Linked DNA regions of Danio rerio. The protein of the gene in region 1 purifies or fractionates together with the protein of each later gene. This does not show direct contact. Links are inferred from orthologs where the notes say so. Each region holds a gene or a part of one and is shown on either strand. Other genes may lie near its edges.

Region 1 (3,614 bases):
TGAATAGGTTTTCAAAAAAGATCCACCTATAATGAAACATGAAGAGTTATGTGTGAATTGGTAAATCACTAATTTAACATAAATATAATTTGTTGTACAAGATGTTAGATTTCTATATTTTGCATTATCAGCAACAGTAGCAAAGATCATTTTTCGTATTGAATATTTTTCCTTTTTTCAGCTGGTTATTTCTTGATTTTTATTTTTATTAAAATTACAGCTTATAAGTTCTGTTTGTTAAACCAATTGTTTTGCAGTGACATTTTTATATAAATAGAAAGAAATTACATTTGTCTGAAAAATTGCCAAATCCATGACTCAAAAACCACAGTGTGATTCAAACATTGAGATTTGTGATCCATTACACCATTATTTGATAGACAGCCAGACAGATGAACGGACGGACAGACAGACGGAAAATAAAACAACAAAGGTCATTCTAAACTAGCCCACCTTGTTGATGGCACAGGCTGTTTTCTCCCTGGTGTGGCCACTGCTGGTTCTCAGGATCTTTGATAAATCTTCTCTAGCAGCAAACAGGTGAGCCACAGACACTCTGGTTTTTGTGGCCAGTGCCACACGAAGAGGCTGGTATACTTTCGAAAGTTTATCAGCATGCGTCTGAAAATAATTACAATAAAACTTCGTCCCTTTCATTTAAGGCACATTTTTTACTTGGTCTTTTAGCTTAATTGATATAAATGTGACACTTTGTTTTATATTATAAAAGAGAGATCCTGATACCTTGGCTCTTTCTGACCAGCCAAAAGACTGAACAGTCACATCCAGTCGTTTCAACAACATTTTCCTTCTGACTTCATACTCATTCTCAAGTGCTTGGTTAATTGCTTCAATTTTCTCCTGTAGATACAAAAAGTCCCATCAATGTATGTAATGCTATAGTCAAAATAATATTGAAATCAAACATTTTCTAGAGATTATATAAGATAACATTTAAATCCCAGCTTACCCAGTGTACAGGGCCCAGTGGTTTCTTCATAAGAGGTTCTCCTATATGAGATGGAGGGACCTTGGCCAATGCTTCCTTCAGCTGTTGGAGAAAACATACAGTAATATATTATTAATAGACTGTTATGCTATCTTGGATTGGTGCATTGTAGTGTTTATTTATAAGAATTTTCTGTCACAGTTACAAGCATGTGCCCTGAATAGCATCGTAAGTATTAAAAATAATAGTTTAAAAAAATTGATATAAAGAAAGTCACTAACAACTGAAATGGAAATATGAACTAATTTACTAAAGCTAAAACAGAATTTACCAACATGAACATACTAAAATTAAATCAGAAACTGAAAAAGGAAAACAAAAAGGCATTATTAAATCTTAATAAATACTACCATACACCAAAAAAAGCATTCTGATGAGAATAACTCCCAAGTTCAGAGGTTTTACTGTATTATTGTACTTTACTCTTACAATTACGTGTGCGGACTCATGACATGCATAGTAATATAAATCAGCTGAGAATAAATCTCACCTTTTTCTCAATACCACTGAAGAACTGGAACATGGTGATGTTGGATGGAGGTTTGGACATGCCCAGAGCCATACAGATGCCCTTCAGCTCCATGAACACTTTACTGCCTCCCGTCTCCTGCACCTTCTTCTGAGGCTGATTCACCACGATCATCCTGGATGACTCCAGCTCAGAAATCAAGAAGCCTGGAAGGATGGTATATATATCAATCAGATTTATGGAGATCTTGAGCTAATTTTATTTTGTATTATTTTTAATTAATCACTTCGCATTTTAATTTTAGCTAAAATAGTTGTGGATAGAAAGACAGACAGACAGACAGACAGAAAAAACTACATTTGCAAAAAATATATATTTTAAATGTACAGGAAGCTTTTTTCTCAACAAGAGGAAATGTTTTAATTATAAATGCCATTTAGAGCCTAGTATTTTTCTTAGCAAAAACAACGCAAGACAGTCAAGCAGTTTATGAACACTCAACACCCAATGTGAATTATTAGACTGGGAGTTCTTAAAATTAAATTCAGTCGTATCTAAATATAATTTAAGATTTATTAAAATTCAGTTTATATTAAATATATTTTCTGTTCATTAAAATGTATGACCCTGGGTGTATTAACCATTTATTTTGAATCTACAATCTTTTGTAAGTGATTTGTTTTTATAATGAAATGGGATTAACATTTTCTAATATGTAATTAGAAGCAAAGTTCCTAATTAAAAAAATTAAAATCTAAAAAAATAAAATGACAAAATAATGGCCTGCACTGTAATCCTTTTAATGTCATCAAATAATTATTGTTCTAAATATGTCTACGAAGATTTAATCAAAGGTTTTATTGAATGACATTTTGGCAGGTGTTTTCTGTAAAATGTGTAGAAAATACATGATAGTCAATTATAAAAGTGTTTCTAGCCACATGTCTGATGTCACTTGTTTTTATGATTATTGTGTCGGCTTTGACCTGTATGCATGCAGTAATTCATGTACACTGTTCTGATAAAGTTTTTATTAATTTGCTTTGTGTTTTAGTCATTTTTGAATATAAACTAAAAATAATTAATAATTACATATGAGTAACACAGCCTTGACAAATAGCTGACATTTATCAAAGTAGTATTATTTAATATTACTTTCAGTTAAACATAGCATGATTAATCGAAAAAAGGTCACAATCTCAATTCGACCTCTTACAAAATCTTAATCCAGCATTTCAACAATTCAGCCAATTACATTTTCAAGTTCATGAGAGAAGCGAAAACGTAGTCGCACAAGCCTTCACATTGTTTTACATATGTTGCTAAGCAAATAAGGTACCTCGAAATGGTGTTGAAAGAGTCACATACTGTATTTCTAAGGTATAATTCACCTAAAATGTAATTTCTGTCTTCATGTAATGATGTTTTCGCGACTGCAAAAATCACACGGGAGCTGACACATGCCCATGTCTACTTTAGTGAACAGAACCTACATAGGCTGTAAATAACAGACAGTAAAGTTCTAAAATAACATTCAGTTTGTTGCACAGAGCTACACAGATAGTATGATTTGTATGTGTGATTTTTTCCCCCTCAAAGGCACAGCAGTCATGGCATGAATCGCACTCAGCAGTAAAAGTGAAACTGAAAGCTAAACATTATATAAATAATCATATCGCATTTTAGAGTTATGATTACGACAAGTATTTGACTTGTAACTGTCAGTATAACTACTCTATCCTATATAATGTTGAATATAATGCAGGAGGAAATCTGATAATGACAAATGTCTCATTTTATCAGTGAAAAAAAAATGGTCTAATAATCTTGTCTATGACAAATGACAAGCATGTGTCTTAAACATAATAATTCAACATTAGAACTATTTATAGTTGTGAATTAGCATCCAGGATAAATTTAAAGAGCCCCTATTATACATTAAAAAGGGTCATATTTTGGTTTTATGTGTCTCAAACAACATGCTGATATGAATGCAAGGTCAATACACACTTTCATGGTCTTATAATATGCATTTATTTTTAGCAAATTATCCCAGCGATATGATATGATTCATTCAGCGTTTCATTTGTTCCCAGAAAGTAGAGAAAATAACACTAACTTTCCCACATACTTCCA
Region 2 (3,660 bases), on another chromosome or scaffold:
CTGGGTCATCGAACAAATCAGCACAGATTAGCATCATGCAAAGGAGGGGTTTGGGAACAAATGAATCGAGAAACGAATCATATGGGAGTCGTTGGGATAATTAGGTAAAAATAAATGCATATTTTAAGATAATGAAAGTGTTTTTGACTTTGCATGCATGTCAGTTTGTTGTTGGAGACCCCTAAAACCAAAATATGACCCTTTATAATGCAAAATAGGGGCTCTTTAACATTCGTAATTACACAGCTGTCTGAAATACTTGATTCAATTTGGTGATAGCGATCTTTCAAATTATATTATTCCTGGTACTTTGATTCATCCTGACAGTCAGGGAATGAGTTCACTTGAATATTTATATCCTCATCCGTCAAGACGTTTTGACTCTGTGACTGAAAGATTTGTAGGTTAGTGTATATGCTCAATCAGCTCCATTCAGCTGGTTTTGTTTGTCAGCTTTGCTTTAAAGAATGAAACTATTATGGCCTAGAACAAATGTTTTGAGTCTAATTTTTACATTCTGTGGCAAGAATGCATATATAAAGTGGGATAAAGTACTTCCAGGCAGTTTTTTTAAAGCTCAGATAAGCCTGTCAGGTGTTATTCTGTGATGATAGCCTCCAAAATGTACTTTATTCCTTACTTATAAGCCAGATGGTAAAGTAGCAAAAATTACAAAGTCAGCTACCATTACGGAGGACAAATAAGCATGATTAAAAACCGTGATCACATTGCAAAAGACCTAGTGTGGGTACAGAAGATCTGTTTGGTTTACCTGTAGGGGAGGAGTGGGAGTTTGAGGTACGCATGTTTCTGTTAGTCTGTCCAGTCCTTTGAGACTTGGGTGAAACTGTAAAAGATCAACATGTTCATTAGTAACACACAAAATGGAATTCAGCATAATAATCTAAATAACATCAAATCGTAGACGCAATTTACCTCCATTGACAGGCCGGGCCACATCTGAGAGGGACTGAGGGTGTGAGAGTGAATGTGAGAGTGTGTGGGGGGAAGGAGGGCTGGAGTGACCCGGCTCTGAGGGCCGGGACTGTGTTGGCGTGCTGCTCTGTGATTGGTGTGTAGAGAATCCTCCTCTGACTGACAGAGAGCTGTTCCTATCAGTGGGAGGAAGGGCCTGGCTGTTAGCAGAGGGGAGGGGTCTAGGGGAGGAGCTTGATGGTCCGGGTCGATTTGTTCGATTAGGCAGGGTGGACACAGCCCCACCTCTTTCACCCCTGCCAGAAACTCCCATCTCTCGCTCCCTTGCTCTCTGGGGAGGAATGTATTTGCCCTCCCTAAAATAAAACAAAGATAAACAGACATCAACAACCAGAAGTAAAGAGAAAGACTATATCATATTGCAGCTAGAAATTAAATGAATAAATGAGTGTCAAACCTGCTCCCAGCACTGGAGAACCCAGGGCTATCTCTTCCCCTTTCTCTTTCTGCTGCTTCACGCTCCCGGTCTCGAACCACTGCACTGAATTTGTCTTCATCAGTTCTTCCCTCATCATTCTCCAGCGCCACTCTGTGGCGATACTGTGAACTAGCCTCGATCTCATTGGCCAATCGGGCGGCTCGAGCTTCTCGCTGCCTGAAGCCCTCAGAGCTTCCCCGCTCCAGAGGAACCCTATGAGAGAAAGACAATAGAATATGATGAAAAGTTCAGCGAGAGTTAAACAAAAATTAAAACTCAAAAAAAAAAAAAATGTTATGTTTGTTTGCATGTTTCAGCGGCATTTTGGCAGCCCTGGTTAGATTCATGGAAACAGTAGTAATATATATTCAATACAATGTTTACAATCATAAAAGTTTCTAAAGCATAATAAAAAATACAAATACCAATACTAATAAAGATCTATTAGAGTCTTGAGTCAAATAGATTCTTGGATTCAGTTCTTTATATTTAAGATGCCTAATGAACTATCTGAAAAGGTATTAAAATCTTTTTGATCAAATCTAAAAACCACCATGATCACGACAAGGTCAGGCACCCTGAAAAAAAAACATCTAAAAATGAACAAAATGATCAACATACGTGTACATGGAGAGACTGGAGTCATAGGTGGACTTCACCCCATAGGTCTCCTCATTAAAGCGGAACATCTCACTGGCATCCCAACCATTAGCCTGAGATGGAGAAAAAGAAATGCAAAAGGCATGTGAAACATCCATTGTGACCAATTACTGCTGTGTTTACAAAGAATGCGTGAAACTCACTGTGTCTGCATCTAAGTCAAAGTTCTCTCCATTGCTGTCGCCTCCATCCCACCTCTGGAGGACCTTCTCTCTGTGGTCACCGTTTAATCTTGATGAGCCAATTGCAGAGTCTGTGAAAGTGTCTGAAAACACACACAAAAATCATATAATAGGTAAATCATCATATTATAATGATCACCATAATAATAAATAATCTGTTACAAGAGTGAGACTTTTGAATTTGTTGAGTTAGGATTGCGTTGTGGTGTTAGGATTGTGTTTTATGTCTGTTCTAGGTTGGGGAATGCCTTTAGCGCACATGACGCTCGTCAGCTCCCTTATTTAAACACAGTAAGAGAGTTTGTCTGGGCTGCTGTTCATTCACTGTTTGGCCAGTTGGCCAGAGCTGTGCTCCAATCCGGGCTTTATGTTTGTTTTGCAGCCATTCACTTGCTTTTCACACTGATTAAACATACTGATAGGGATGTTTTGATTGTTATTTTCAATTATGTTAAAATAAATATGATTTTTAACTTTATTTCGCCGTGTCGTCTCCCTTAATGTCACATCTTTGAGCCAGGTGTAACAGTTGCCATATCAGACTCTCTGGCTATTTCATGGCAAAACCGGATCAAATATACAGCATTTTATAAATATTGCTTTTCCATAGTAGCAAAGAAAATCTAACAATTAAGACATCCATAATACATAATAGATAAAAAATATCTAAAACAGCTTTAAAAGGTTTACTTTTAATAAAAAATATGCCATTTATGTTTAAAAATATTTCCTTTAAAGTTTCTCCAGATAACTTCTGATAACAAAAATAGTGGCTGGGCATATTAAGAGTACATGTTTAACAGTTTGGTTTCTGTTGAATACAGACACTTTGGGGGAAACTTCTTCGAGTAAATATTCATGAGTAAGTCTTGAGTGTCTAATATGGAATGTCCGAATCATCTTGTGAATTTTCTCCATACTTTTGGCTGGACTTTAAAAAGTTTATTATATCTCATTCGACTTGTGATTTGTTAAGAATATAGCTTTTTATTAGTAGCTTTAAATCTGAAGGTGGGATTTGGCACTTCTTCATTCTTCCTGTTTTTAAGGCTGACATGTCCTGGGATCCAGAAGAAGACTAGATCATAAAAGTTTCTCTGTAGTTCATTTCTCTCTGTTACAATGCCACACAGAGTTTAACAAAGATTTTGAAACAAATTTCTAAACATAATAGTTTTAATAACTCATTTCTAATAACTGATTTAGTTTATCTTTGTCATGATGACAGTATTTAATATTTTACTAGATATTTTTCAAGACACTAGTTTTCAACTTAAAGTAACATTTAATAATTTAATTAGGTTAATTGGGCAAGGAAGTGTAATCAGGCAAATTATTGTATAATGATGGTTTGTTCTGTGGACAATCAAAACAAATATTGCATATGGGGGTTAATAATATTGT
Region 3 (3,660 bases), on another chromosome or scaffold:
GTCTCGTTGCATACACAAATGTCAATTGTCTGTAAACGAATAGCATTTAGCAGCTAGTCTAGCTCCACCCTTGGTACTCTTTTGTTGTGCCAGATAACCTTCCAAAAAACTGTATAGTACAGTTTTTCATTTTTGATATTACTGACAGGGGAAATGGAAATAAATGTGTAGCTGTACTGTAATGTACTATCAGGAGCTGATATAGTGTGGGGCCTTAAGCAATTCCAGCCAAAGGGCCCAAATCCTAAATGCACCCTTTCTACTTGCATTTAATATTTATTTCTTCATTCACTCACTAATTTTCTTTTCACCCTAGTCACTTTATTAATCAGGGGTCTTCACACCGGAATAAACCGGCAACTTATCCAGCATATTTATACGCAGCAGATGCCCTTCCAACCACAACCAATCACTGGGAAACATCTATATTTAATTCACCTGTAGCGCATGTCTTTGGACAGTGAGGGAAACCGAAGCACCAAGAGGAAACCCATACGAACATAAGGAGAACATTTAAACTCCACACAGAAATCCCAACTGACTCAGCCGGGGCTCAAACCAGCGACACTCTTGCTGTGATGCAATCATGCTACCCACTGCGCCACTGTGACAACATATTTATTTATACTGCTGTTTTTTATATCACTTAATCTTCTTTTCGACATATTAAATAAAAATAATTTCTAAGTAAATTTTGTAAAATGAATTTACAACTAGAAAAGAACACATATTTTGTTTATAAATCTGACTGCTAAACTGCTCCATGATGATTATTTTATTTTGTAATAAAATTATTATTATTTATTATTACATTACATTATCATAATATTATATTTGATTGTATATTAAATAAAATTTAACCACATTAAATAATTGTCCTTATGGGGTATTTTGTGAGGAATGTGGAGGAAATAAATAAATTGAATCCATTTTGAAAGAAGGCTGTAACATAAAAAAATGTAGAAAAAGTCAAGCGCTATGAATACTCTCCGGATACACGGCACACTGAGTATTACTGTACTGTAGAAAACAGAAAGAAAAGAATCCAGAGAAACAAACATAGCTAACACAAGAGTTTTGACCATAGATATGTCAGCAATAATAATGTTGCATTTAAATACCAAGAGTTATGTTGACTTAGATAAAAAATGAAGCACAAAATCAAACCCACCTCTCACTCAGATTTCTCTAGGCACAATGCATTATTGGTAGAGCAACTTTTTAATCTGAAGTGAATTGGTTCTGTTTTTTTTAAATAGAAGTTTCCTAAATCAGAAGTGCAACCCATAATGTGCTTTAGAAAATCCTCATAAAGTGTGGTAAAAGTTGGACGTAACCTTGGCTTCAGTACTGACTAGCACTCACCTGCTGCACATGAGCCATATGGTTAGGGTTGTACCCATGCTGCGGGTGGATATAGACGGCCTGCTGTGCCGAGGGGAAGCTGGCCTGAGGGGACTGTGGGTTTGGGCCGGGGGTCATGGAGGGTGGGGTGGCTGCCAGAGCAGAGTACATCTGCTGCTGCTGTGGGTTGCCCAGGTGGATGGCCTGAGCTGCAGCAGCGGCGGCCGCCTGATGCTGTTGATGCTGAACGGGGCTGGGGGCCGGGTGACTGCCCCCGTGCTGGGTACCCTGCTGGGGCTGTCCTGTCGGGGTGGCAGAGGGCTGAGGGTGCTGTGGATGAGGGTGCAGGGTGGAGCTTGGATGGGGAAACTGCTGAGGAATTGGGGTCTGTGACACTGAAACACACAAGTACAAATGCTTATAACGCATGATAAAACTGTCTAAATTAAATCCAATAAATATGAATGTTAATAAATAAATATAAACTAAAGTCACCTGTAGAAAAGGCATTTGTATTTGTCACATATCATTATGTGTGTACACTTTATTTATATGTATGTAGAACTATTAGGGCTAATTTTATTAATGCAGCACGTGTTTTTTGTTTAACCCATGCAGTCAGTAAAAGATGCAACACCAGTTGAAAATTACAGAGAATGAAAAATGTACAAATGGTAAGATTACAAACATGATGTCTTATAGCCCTGTCTACAAGAAAAAGTTATCTGCTTTTACTATCAATGTGAATTAAGTTTTCACCACATTCATGTGATACCGAAAGCTTAAAATATCACTCGATGGTGATTTATACAGCTGAAACAGACAACTTTTCTCACCCTCACAGACCACACTACAGTAGATGGTTTGCAGAGACAACTCCTCAAGCATTAAAACGCAACATTGCTGCATGTTAGTAGCTAAACAGCATGTACAAATGTCACAACAAATTACTTGTTACCTCAGAAAAGTCATAAAATGTCCATAAGCTACAGAAGGGCATAAAAATATTCAATTAAATAAAAAAAATATAATGTTAATTTACAGATTTACTATATTAAATGTATGTATTATAAATGTATGGTCTGCTACAATATTTTTCACTTGTACTTCTGTAATTGATTCTTTTCTTTGAAAACCAAGACCAAATTGACTGTCATTTTTATTGTTTAATTAAAGCCATAGTGAAACTTTAGCAAAGTATATGAGGAAAAAACTATAAGAAACATGTTTAGTATTTGGTCTTAGGCCATGTACTTCATTACGCTTCTGCGAATCATTTTCATATCGGCGCATTTTTATAAATTACACATACAAAAAACACACTTAGGTCCCTGATGTTGTAATGCAGTTATGATTAAATCTTTAAATCAATAGACAGTCCTAATAATAATAGAAAAACAAAATGGTGCTTGTTTTTAAGACCAAAAATACAGCAAAAATATGTATGTATATCTTTTCAGTACATGTAAATTTATGTGTGTTATGGGTGGTGGGGGGCACTAAAGTTTTTGCTATATTATAATTTTAAATTAATCACATTAACTTGATAACAAGAAAGCTTTACAATATACACATACCCTCCGGCAAATGTAGTAAAATAATATATCAATAATAATTTTATATTTTTCAGCAACACAGAGCTCACAAAATTTGTTAGTCCAATGTCCCGGTCTATTGTTTTTTTTTTAGCCAGGCAACCAAAATACATTTCCACCTGCCTGGCAGGCCAATGGGAGAAAAAATACATTTCAATGCTTTTGCATTTTCTCACAACTGGATAATTATGTATGTGCTGTGCTGCTGATACGGCAGCAATAAATCCACTTGTTGGTGATAAAGAAAATAAGCCACAATATCATCAACTACCACCCAAGTAACGTAACATAGGGTTTCTTAATCAGTTTAATCGCTTGTTCTGTACTGAATGCGAGTGCATGCGTCACTGTGAAAAGCACATGCAGAACATAGCCACGTAATAAAGAAAGATAGAACGTACGTTTTAAGTTAATAAGGACTGCTAATGTAATAAGTTAATGTCATCTGTCAGCTTTTTGCAATTATTTAACAGAATCGATAAACAATTGGCAGTGAAAGGAAATGTTTATTTTTTGACTTGTGCTTAAAAGGATAGTTAAAAAAGCAGTTACCCAAAAATGAAAAAATAACTCACTATTTACTTTACTATTTACTTTTTACTCGTTTAGATTTTTATTCTTTCTGTTAAACACAGTTAAAGATATTTTGAAGAAAAAGTTTCATGTTTAAAAGAGAAAGAAACAAACAGGTCTGAAGTTAGTGAAGGGTGAGAAAATAATG

The links.
Region 2: the proteins of fam98a (region 1) and atxn2l purify together in Homo sapiens (co-immunoprecipitation; 3 studies listed by BioGRID and IntAct, with this or other methods). This does not show direct contact. The link is inferred for Danio rerio from reciprocal best matches to the Homo sapiens genes FAM98A and ATXN2L.
Region 3: the proteins of fam98a (region 1) and atxn2 purify together in Homo sapiens (co-immunoprecipitation; 3 studies listed by BioGRID and IntAct, counting the BioPlex papers as one, with this or other methods). This does not show direct contact. The link is inferred for Danio rerio from reciprocal best matches to the Homo sapiens genes FAM98A and ATXN2.

What each region holds. Positions count from the first base shown.
Region 1 is NC_133192.1:24,534,689-24,538,302, forward strand, and holds part of fam98a (protein FAM98A), read right to left. Parts: intron 1,685-3,614; coding exon 1,500-1,684; intron 1,052-1,499; coding exon 971-1,051; intron 862-970; coding exon 745-861; intron 622-744; coding exon 454-621; intron 1-453. UniProt on the Homo sapiens protein: Positively stimulates PRMT1-induced protein arginine methylation. Involved in skeletal homeostasis. Positively regulates lysosome peripheral distribution and ruffled border formation in osteoclasts.
Region 2 is NC_133178.1:14,057,344-14,061,003, reverse strand, and holds part of atxn2l (ataxin-2-like protein), read right to left. Parts: intron 2,340-3,660; coding exon 2,218-2,339; intron 2,128-2,217; coding exon 2,036-2,127; intron 1,628-2,035; coding exon 1,394-1,627; intron 1,293-1,393; coding exon 937-1,292; intron 848-936; coding exon 773-847; intron 1-772. UniProt on the Homo sapiens protein: Involved in the regulation of stress granule and P-body formation.
Region 3 is NC_133180.1:42,538,988-42,542,647, forward strand, and holds part of atxn2 (ataxin-2), read right to left. Parts: intron 1,740-3,660; coding exon 1,366-1,739; intron 1-1,365. UniProt on the Homo sapiens protein: Involved in EGFR trafficking, acting as negative regulator of endocytic EGFR internalization at the plasma membrane.